2 linked regions of the Oryzias latipes genome follow. The protein of the gene in region 2 binds, or shares a complex with, the protein of the main gene of each other region. Links are inferred from orthologs where the notes say so. Each region holds a gene or a part of one and is shown on either strand. Other genes may lie near its edges.

The links.
Region 1: polr1e (region 2) and twistnb share a complex: the UniProt entries of both Homo sapiens proteins name them as parts of the RNA polymerase I (Pol I) complex. The link is inferred for Oryzias latipes from reciprocal best matches to the Homo sapiens genes POLR1E and POLR1F.

Annotation. Positions count from the first base shown.
Region 1 is NC_019869.2:9,793,616-9,798,061, reverse strand, and holds the start of twistnb (DNA-directed RNA polymerase I subunit RPA43), read right to left. Parts: upstream 2,980-4,446; 5' UTR 2,939-2,979; coding exon 2,643-2,938; intron 66-2,642; coding exon 1-65. UniProt on the Homo sapiens protein: Component of RNA polymerase I (Pol I), a DNA-dependent RNA polymerase which synthesizes ribosomal RNA precursors using the four ribonucleoside triphosphates as substrates.
Region 2 is NC_019859.2:12,630,935-12,635,534, forward strand, and holds the start of polr1e (DNA-directed RNA polymerase I subunit RPA49), read right to left. Parts: upstream 3,051-4,600; 5' UTR 3,036-3,050; coding exon 3,006-3,035; intron 2,796-3,005; coding exon 2,717-2,795; intron 2,516-2,716; coding exon 2,412-2,515; intron 2,129-2,411; coding exon 2,052-2,128; intron 1,961-2,051; coding exon 1,875-1,960; intron 1,793-1,874; coding exon 1,737-1,792; intron 1,663-1,736; coding exon 1,518-1,662; intron 1,395-1,517; coding exon 1,284-1,394; intron 1,169-1,283; coding exon 1,072-1,168; intron 989-1,071; coding exon 858-988; intron 724-857; coding exon 642-723; intron 559-641; coding exon 427-558; intron 1-426. Other genes in the region: zinc finger and BTB domain-containing protein 5-like, read left to right, coding at 4,405-4,600. UniProt on the Homo sapiens protein: Component of RNA polymerase I (Pol I), a DNA-dependent RNA polymerase which synthesizes ribosomal RNA precursors using the four ribonucleoside triphosphates as substrates.

The sequences.
Region 1 (4,446 bases), on a different chromosome or scaffold from region 2:
CGTAGATGTCTCCATGTCTGCCCACTATCCGGATGTTGTCATAAGCCAGGGGTACTCCGTTCAGACTGCAAGGCACATGTACACATAGCTGAGAAAAGTTGTGTCACAGCCAGACGAACAAACATCAGCTGACTGGAATAAACTAAACAAGAAGGTAAATACCTAGACAAAATGTTCTGTGTGGTCCTAGTACCTAAAACTGTCCATCCCAAAGAACCCAGAGGGGATCATACTCCACCATCTTAACCCAGTGCCCAACGCTCTTGGAGGATGGCACTCTCCAGGTTCTCTGGACAACATTCAGGGCTCTCAGGTATCTCTTAAATACCGGATTCTTTAAGGTAAACTTAAGGTATGTTAAAGGCATCCCCAACCCCTGGGCGGTAGACCGGTACCAGTTTGTTGGACAAATGGTACCGGGCCGCAGAGAAAAAAACAGGACCTCCATTATTTCTGTTTTATTTAGTTCTGGGTGAAGTTTTATTTTAAAAATCTACTGGATTCTTCACCGCATCCAACTCATTCTTCAAGTCGCTTGGTTGCGTGTTGAAAATCCATCGATACTTTCTTAAAGCGTGCGCAAACTGCAGCCCCGAAGCTAGCACAGTTAGCAAAAAACAAACACATTTGGAAAGTTTCTTTTTGCAGAGAAGAGCCAGTGAGGAAACAGAAGACGATCCTTTGACTTCAAAATAAAAAAACAGCAGCATTTAACAGAAAAAAAAGGATTTATTGTGACAGTTGTTCCCACAGACAATAATAATAATACATAACATTCAACAACCAGCGGTCTAATATTACGAGGATGCTGCTAATAAAGTTGTTCAAATGGTGGATTCCCATTTATAATCATATTTAAAAATAAAACACTTTTTTTTAAATTTATCAATTGCACCATAAAAGTCGGATGAGGGTGAGGTTGGCGCTGACAGCAGCTCCACGGCGGCGGAGTAAGACGGTACCTATGTTCACGTGACTACTGCTGGTTAGTAAGCATAAAGTGGATTTCCATCTTTATGCAGACGACTGCCAAATCTTTGTTGCTATGCGCAAATGTCCCGACTGTTCAGGCAACAACTGGACGGCCAAGTGGATGTCGGCTAACTTCTTTGGGCTTAATGAAACAAAAACTGCAGTAATTATGTTTTCCCGTCGTGGTCGAAAGGATCGCGGTCTTCATCTCCTCTCGCTCGCCCCGTTTCAACAGTCTGTGGTCTATAACCTAGGCGTGAAACTCGATGCTACCTTGAAAGTGGACCTCCAAATAAAGGCTGTAACCAGGTCCTGCTTTTTTCAGCTGCAGCGTTTGGCGAGGATTATGGTTTTTTTATCCAAATTAGATTTTGTAATTGTGTAGCATCTTCTGTGTAGTCAAGGCTAAATTATTGCAGCTCCTTATATGCGGTGTCCCGCAATAGCGAGGCTGCAGCTAGTTCAAAATGCAGCCGGCAGATTTATTCGTGGTACAAAGAAATCTGAGCGCATTACCCCAATCCTGGTCTCCTTAAACTGACTGCCCATGCAATCGTTTTTTTTTTTAAAAAGAAAAAGAAAATTCCTGTTTTTGTTTTTGTCATTAGCAGGTACGGCATCTTCTTACCTAGTCTGCTTTTAAAATATTCTCCCCTCGAGTTCTTGTGCTCTGCTGACCAGTGTGTGTTACTATTGTGAGAACCACATGTAAGTTCTAAAGGGATTGTGCGTTGACTCAACATCCACCGGCTAACAGAGAGGTTACACTCTTGGAGAGCTTTAAAGCCAAACTGTTCCTCCACCATCACGCCGCTGTCTCTGCCTAGCTGCCTTTTTGTTATGTTGGTTTCAATCTCTGTTTTTATACTTATATGATGTATTCTACCTTCCCTGTGTACAGCACTTTGGGTCTACGAGGCTGGGGGTGGAAGGTACTCTAGGAATGAATACATGAAATGTAAATGTCCTTTTCAGCCAAAATGATAATAAAAATAACAAGCTTTTTTCAACAGCATTTTTTCGACAATGCTGAAGTTGGCTTCTGATTCACAGCTTCTGATTCGCGGGAGCACTAAAGAAACATTCCACTGCACTTTTCACACAGCGGTTTCTGAACAGGACCTGGTCTGAGGTGGACTCTGTGCGTAAAATGCGATACAAATCATTCTTTCACATTTTTACAAATCGGAAGAAGGTTTAATAAATCAGAACCTGCGTTTAATGCATTCTTAACTATCTAATGTATAATTTAATCCAGGTTTGAGGGGTCCAGGTCCAGCGGTGTTTTAACAGGGACCGGTTTTAGGTGATCTTAGCCCGAGAAATGCATTGAATGTTTCTTTAGTGCCCTCGCGAATCGGAAGCCAACTTCAGCATCATGTTTTTTCGTCTGCTCCTGATGATTCACAACAATTAGATTAAAAAATACTTAAAAAAGCCGTTTTAATACCAATTTTCCTTAAGATATGTCCTCCAACGTGAGAAAAATGTGACAAGAACATGTTTGAAAAAGAATTTTCATTGGAGTGCGTCTTAATGAATCATCTTAAAATTGATCCGGACACAGACAGATATTTATTGTGTTGTAGTTCATTTGGATGGATGGATAAAGTCTCTTTTTTTTTAACGCGCTTCATCTTCACAGACTCCACTAAAGGATGTCGGGGTACCTCTGGGAGAACTTCAGGAGCTCCGCTTCCAGCTCCTCCTGGATTCCGCTTCTCTTCTTGTGGAGGTAGACCGGCGGGAGGACGACGTGCCTCCTGCGGGGGTTCATCACCAGGCAGGAGTACGGCGCTGACAGCAGCTCCACGGCGGCGGAGTAAGACGGGACCAAACACGGAGCACCGCCCGCAGCTTTTTCTGCAGCTGCGGACGCTGGATCCACCGGAATCGAGCCAGAGACGGCAAGAGGTTCAGCCGACATTTTCACGTGTTTTGGTTCGGCGTGGATCAGGTTCTCCATGCTGCGTGAGAAGACCGGAAAACAAACAAGTCGTAGTTTCCGGAAAGAGGATCGACCTGCCACCAACCGAAGTTTAACATTTATGCGTATGTTGCCCTCTGCTGGTGAGGCGGTGAAACTACAGCATGAAATATGAAGCATGAGCAGAAACGTAGTCTTTTATTTTTATTTTTTATTTTTATAAATAAATGTTTCATTCTTGTTTCATTAATGTGGACTGGAATCATCAAAGCCAAAGTGGGACTATTCCCAAACAGAATGAAAGATGTTTAGAGGCAGGTAACTGAGTGCTGGGAGGAGGCGCATTACCTGGAGGTACACCGCCATTTGGAGACACAGAGTGAATGAACATGCTTCACCCTTCCCGAGGTCGAGCATGCAAGTTGCTTCCAAAGATCTTTATTAGCACCACTGTAGCCCAGACACCAGTGTTTTTTTCTTTATAAAAAAATACTTCTATTTGTTTATTTTGCATGATTGTGTGTTCTTTTAAATCTGCTCATGGATCTCTTTCCTTTCTGCATGGATAGTGGTCCTGAGTGCAGGACTGCATGGCCATTTAAGGACTGTCAGCTGGGATGAGTGGAGAGCACTGGGCAAAATACTAACCATTCACATTTTTCTCTCTTTATTTTTATTCTAGATGTGTTGTTTTCAAATATATTGTTTTATGAAACCATTTCTTTTAGATTAGACCTGTTTTAACCTGTTTTAACATTTTCAAAGTAAAAGGCCTCTGCTGTCTCTGGTCACTCCAGAGACAGCAGAGACTGCAGATCTGCCGCTTCTCGGCAGATCTAATACTTTGTACTGTAGTTCTGGGGCTTCACCCTCTTAATCTTGATGTCTTCTCTTCCTGCAATAGTGGCAATGACAAGACAGTTGTATAAATATAGGAGAATATTGTGTTATTTATTTCTATAGGAAGACTCCAATGGTCATGCCCTCCCATAGTGTTCTGTCCTTTGTTATGTAATCTGTGGAATGTTATGCAATGGAAGCCTGGTAAAGGTTCTCATTGATTCTGGATCCTCTTCTCAGTGGAAGTGTCACATTAAGATCATTAGGGTGACCTAAAGTGTGAATTTGAGCAGCTGATGAACACTCTGTCTTATATTAAACATGCGGTACTTTCAGAAACATAAAGACAGAAGCAAATCTACACTGCAAAAACAAAAACTAGTACAAAAATATATTTTTGTACTTGACATGAGACAAAACTACTTCACAAGTAACTTTTCCGTGTGGTAAAATGACTGGTTTTAAGACAACATATCCTGAACATTTTGTAGAAAATGTTTTGTTTTAAGTAATATCGCTAAAAAAACTATTTTTTGACTCATAATGTTCTTTTAATCTTGACAACTTTATCTTAGAATGTTTGATTCTAGTCTACAGCTCTTAAAGTAGGATTTTTTAGGGGGAGAAGTAGCATGTCCTGTAGGTTTACCCATCAATGTACCTACTTTACAGAAGTGAAAGGGTTTTAAAAGCAACACACGCTTTTT
Region 2 (4,600 bases):
CAATAAAATGTTTTTGGTGTTTTTAGCCCTAATCTTCTAAAAAAAAAAAAAAAAAACTGCACTCTAAGGACCGGCTCCTCCAAATCCAAAAAAACAGCGAGTGACATCAAGAAGTGAGGAACAGCCCCTTCCAGGAACAGTCTGTGCTGCCAGCACCGCCCCCAGGCTTACAGACACACCCACTTTCTCAGCGGAGCTAGTGGTAAACAGCAAAGCGCTTTCATTTTATGTACAGAATATGCATATCCATCTTTGCAAATGTTGGGACATGCTGCCAAGTCCGACCCTAGGTTGTCATAAAATGTGCGAAACCCACACAGAGAGAAAGGTGGTGCCTCAGAGAGAGTCGTCTTATGTTCGGGTTGGAAAATCAGTTGGTAAAATAACTAAGATGTTTTAAAGGGAGAGAATTTGGGGTTTTTGTACCTGGCCTCATTGATTTCCAGGTCACGGTGAAGCAGTGAGAGGTTAACAGTCATGTCACCCAAATGCAGCAACAGAGCCAGACTGTGAGCTGCTATTTTGGCCCGCATTGATGTCGACACAATGTTCTGGACCCTAAAAGGAGAACACAAAACACATTTGTCAGCTTTTTTTTTTTTTAAACCTTAACAAAAGAGGGGGTACTGTCGCATACACACCTGCCATTATTGTATGTCTCCACTGTAAATGTTCGGAGAATTTTACTTTGAATGACACGAGGACAACCTTCCTCAGTCCAAACTGCAAACAAAAACGGGTGGAATAGAAAAAGCATCATACATTACAAAACTTTAGGGGCAGGGCATTTTAACGTGTTGATCAGCGATATTTAGAATCTACTACTTCAATAACTGAGATTCCAAAATTCTGCTCACATTTGCGAGTGACAATCTTCTGATGGGCAAGTTTGATGAGGAGAGACAGGTAAAAAGCGCAGCGAGCAGTTTTCTCTCTAGGTTCACTTGCGGATGGCATGTTCTCCAGGTGCTTCATCACACACAGATTCCTTTGGTAAGAAATAGAGAAATATTTCAATTCAATAATAAGTAAATAAGGCTAATAAGACAAAAATGCTCTCTGCTACCATACCCTCTTTGGTCTTTCAACTTCTGCAGCTCCTCTTGGCTTAGTGCCGTCATCTTTTGACCGTTCGGCTCCAAAGCAGCAAATTCTACTGGACTCAGTACTGTTGAAGTCAAATTAAGGATGGAGAAAAGTGCTGCTTTTGCTCGAACTACATATGCATGTAATTTCCAATATCTGTTCAAATTGGGGGTGGGGGGGTAATGTTAAAAAGATACGCTCTTCAAAGGGGTAGACATCTTCTTTTTTGTCTGCATCTGCATTGCAGGGAGGTAGGTGTAACGACAGGGCTCCTTGAGACTCTGTTTCAGCTACTTCCTGTTGCAGAGCTAACAAGAAAAAAAGGGGGAAAAAAACATGTAGTAAAAAAAAAATGATGGCAAGTCCAGTATGAATTTGAGTTATATTTTCTTGTCTAGATTACTCCAAAAGGCTGAAAGCTTCACGCTTACCTTCCAGACCCTTGTTATCAATCACAGTGCTGGCAGCTTCAGCCACTGCATGATGCAGAGCATCACTGCCCACCTGGTTGAGCCTGCGAGAGCTCAGAGCTCGTTTCTGTTTATTCGTGCCAAAGGCCTCAATCAAGGAGTCAACCTTGAGAAAGAAAAAAAAAACATGACTTCACTGTGTGCTTGTTTGTTTCAAAAGAAAGCTTGTTTTTCTCATACCTTTTCCCTGTAGGACAGAGTGGTGTCCTGAGGCTTTGCATCATGTGTTGCCTCTCCTGGTGGAAATTAACTGGCATTACTAAATTGCCCTCCTTTAAAAATCGCTTGTTATTGTTTTGGGGATTGCATTTCTTTTACCTGGTATGACAGGTTGCATGTTGAATAGCTGAGCGCTGTGTATCTCCATCTGCATGGTTTCTTTATTCAAAACTCCAACATAATATCTGAAAATAATTGCATCACAAAACTCATTCGATAAGGATACGAAAGGTCTATATCAAATGTTAATGTATATAAAATGTAATGATAACAAACCTGCAAAGATTATTGCATTTCATTAAATCTTCTCCAAAATTCTGCCCGACATAAGACAACCTGTCTGATTCAGCAACCTAAATGGAACAGACAACTGTTACATATTTAATGAATGCGAATCTGTCATTTTTGTTTAATTATTATGGTATAATGTACGTGTGTGTGGTTGTAAATATATGGATATGCATCTCTTATAACATTTTTTATTTTACAATCAAAAAATGACAAACCATCTTAAGTTTGATAAACATATGAGTGGATTTGTATTTCTTCTTCAGTGTGATGTTATATTGATTGCTTGAAATATATCAATTCCATGCAAACTATGGTGTGTGCGAGCACGCATGCGCAATTTCTCACCACGATCCGCCTTATCTTTTTCCTCGGATTATTTTCTTCTATGTTCTTGAATGTGGCAAAATCCAGTTCCTCTGCATTGCTGGTGAAACCATTCGAAAATCGGACTGCAAAAAATACAGAGAATGGCGTGTTAATGTTGATTATGTGTGAGAATATTGCCTTGTAACTTTCACGTGTTCTGATTACTCCTGAAAAATGGAATAGTTTTATACACTTGAATGCAACACAGATAACTCAAATACTGACTGTATGCTCGCCTGCTTTAGAGATTATTGTTTCAAAAAGGCTGAGATGAGAATAATTACCTATGATCGCTTTGTCAGACTCCCTTTCCTCCTCGCAGCACACCATCCTGCACGAGGCGGCCATGATTGTTGTTGTGATCTGTGAAAGGAGCGAGAGGACTCACTCATCTGTATTTACGTAAAACGTAACGCTCAGTGAATTTGGTCAATGACGAATTTTTGTCTTTTCTTAAAGCTGTCTAAAAACATTTTTTTTCTAAATACACGTAAATATTATTCACAACACCTGTCTTAATAAAGTAGATATTTAAAACCATTTCGCTCAATAGTTTTCATCCTAGACACTTACGAACGACAGCGACACCCTGTGGTGAATCATTCAAACTGCTGCGCTTTACCTCAACGAGGTCATTTCAATCAAGGTGCAGCAGCGCCACCCTGTGAGTCTGGATGGGGAAAAAAAGCCGTCTGAATAAATGTTCGTATAGATTAAGCAAAACGTGCTGCTTGGTAAGCGCCGGAAACACACCAGATCATCGGTATTATGATATTGTTCTGAAGTTGTATCCTGCTCATCGGTCATCCTAAAGCTAACGACCATCGCAACTCCCTTCTTCTCGACAGTTGAACTACTACGCCGTTCAGACTGTATTGGAGAACTACGAGGAAGTGGCTTAGAGGAGATGTTATGAACACCGCAATGGAAGGGTTAGCCATAGGTAGCTGCACTTGAGGGGACATTTTGTGGGGGAAAGGGTGTCGGCGGAGACGATCTTTTGGGGAGACCTAATGCACCCGCTGGTGCTGCTATATAGCTAGAAGGAGTTGGCTAGCCGCGCGGCTGCTAACGAGACTCACTACTAGCCTCTTCACTTTTTTTCCCTGAATATTTTCTCAATTTTTTTCCTTCGGGGACACACTTTTTGGAAGACTTAAAGGTAATTTGTGCTATTTGACATTTTTAAAATCTAGTATATGTTATTTATTGTTTATAACCCACATGATTGTCCAGTTTAAACTTGCAAGCTATTCTTTAAGGTCTGTTTTGCAGTAACCGAATTCTCTATCATCAAGTTGCGATAAAAAAATATAAAGTTTGGGGAATTTAAAACGACTAATTACCCAAAGTTTTTGAATGTAATAAATGTTACAACACGGTTATCGCATAGTAAGATATTGAATTCTATTTTAGGCCACAGAATTCTATAAAATTAAATCAATTATTCTGAAAAAAAAATTAGCTAGCTTACTTAAATTTCCTTCTTTTGTGTGTGTTATATGTTGAGTCTTTGGAAACGCTTTTAACCAAAGTGACTCACTAGTTTATTACAATCCAAGGCAACGTGAGGTTAAGTGTTTCGCCCAAGGACACTTTTGACTGTGTAGTCTTGGATTTAAACCCCCAATCTACTGACCTTCAAATTCTTTCCTTAGTTATGTCTATGTTAAATAGTCAAAAGGAAGTCAAATGTGTGTGTTTTGCACTGATAATGACATATTGAAGTCAGCCCAAAAAGCCAGAATGTTTCTAAGACTTGTTGTCTTGTTGATTAACTTAACTTCACATTCTGAGTAACTTCACATTCTGAGTGGCTAAACACACCTGATGATCCAGGGAGCAGGGAGAGCTGGGAAACAGTCAAGGTGGTAGATCTGTTGGGCAGCCCCCTGTGAAATCATTGATGTCCACGTCCTTCTCACTTTTGTCTCCTTCTCCTCCTCCTTTGGACTGATTTGTCAGCAGAGCCATGGACTTCCCGGGACACTTTGAGCAGATATTCCAGCAGCTGAACTATCAGCGGCTGCACGGTCAGCTGTGCGACTGCATCATAGTGGTGGGCAGCCGACACTTCAAAGCCCACCGCTCTGTTCTTGCAGCCTGCAGCACCCACTTCAGAGCGCTCTTCACCGTCGCCGAGGGAGATGCTAGCATGAATATGATCC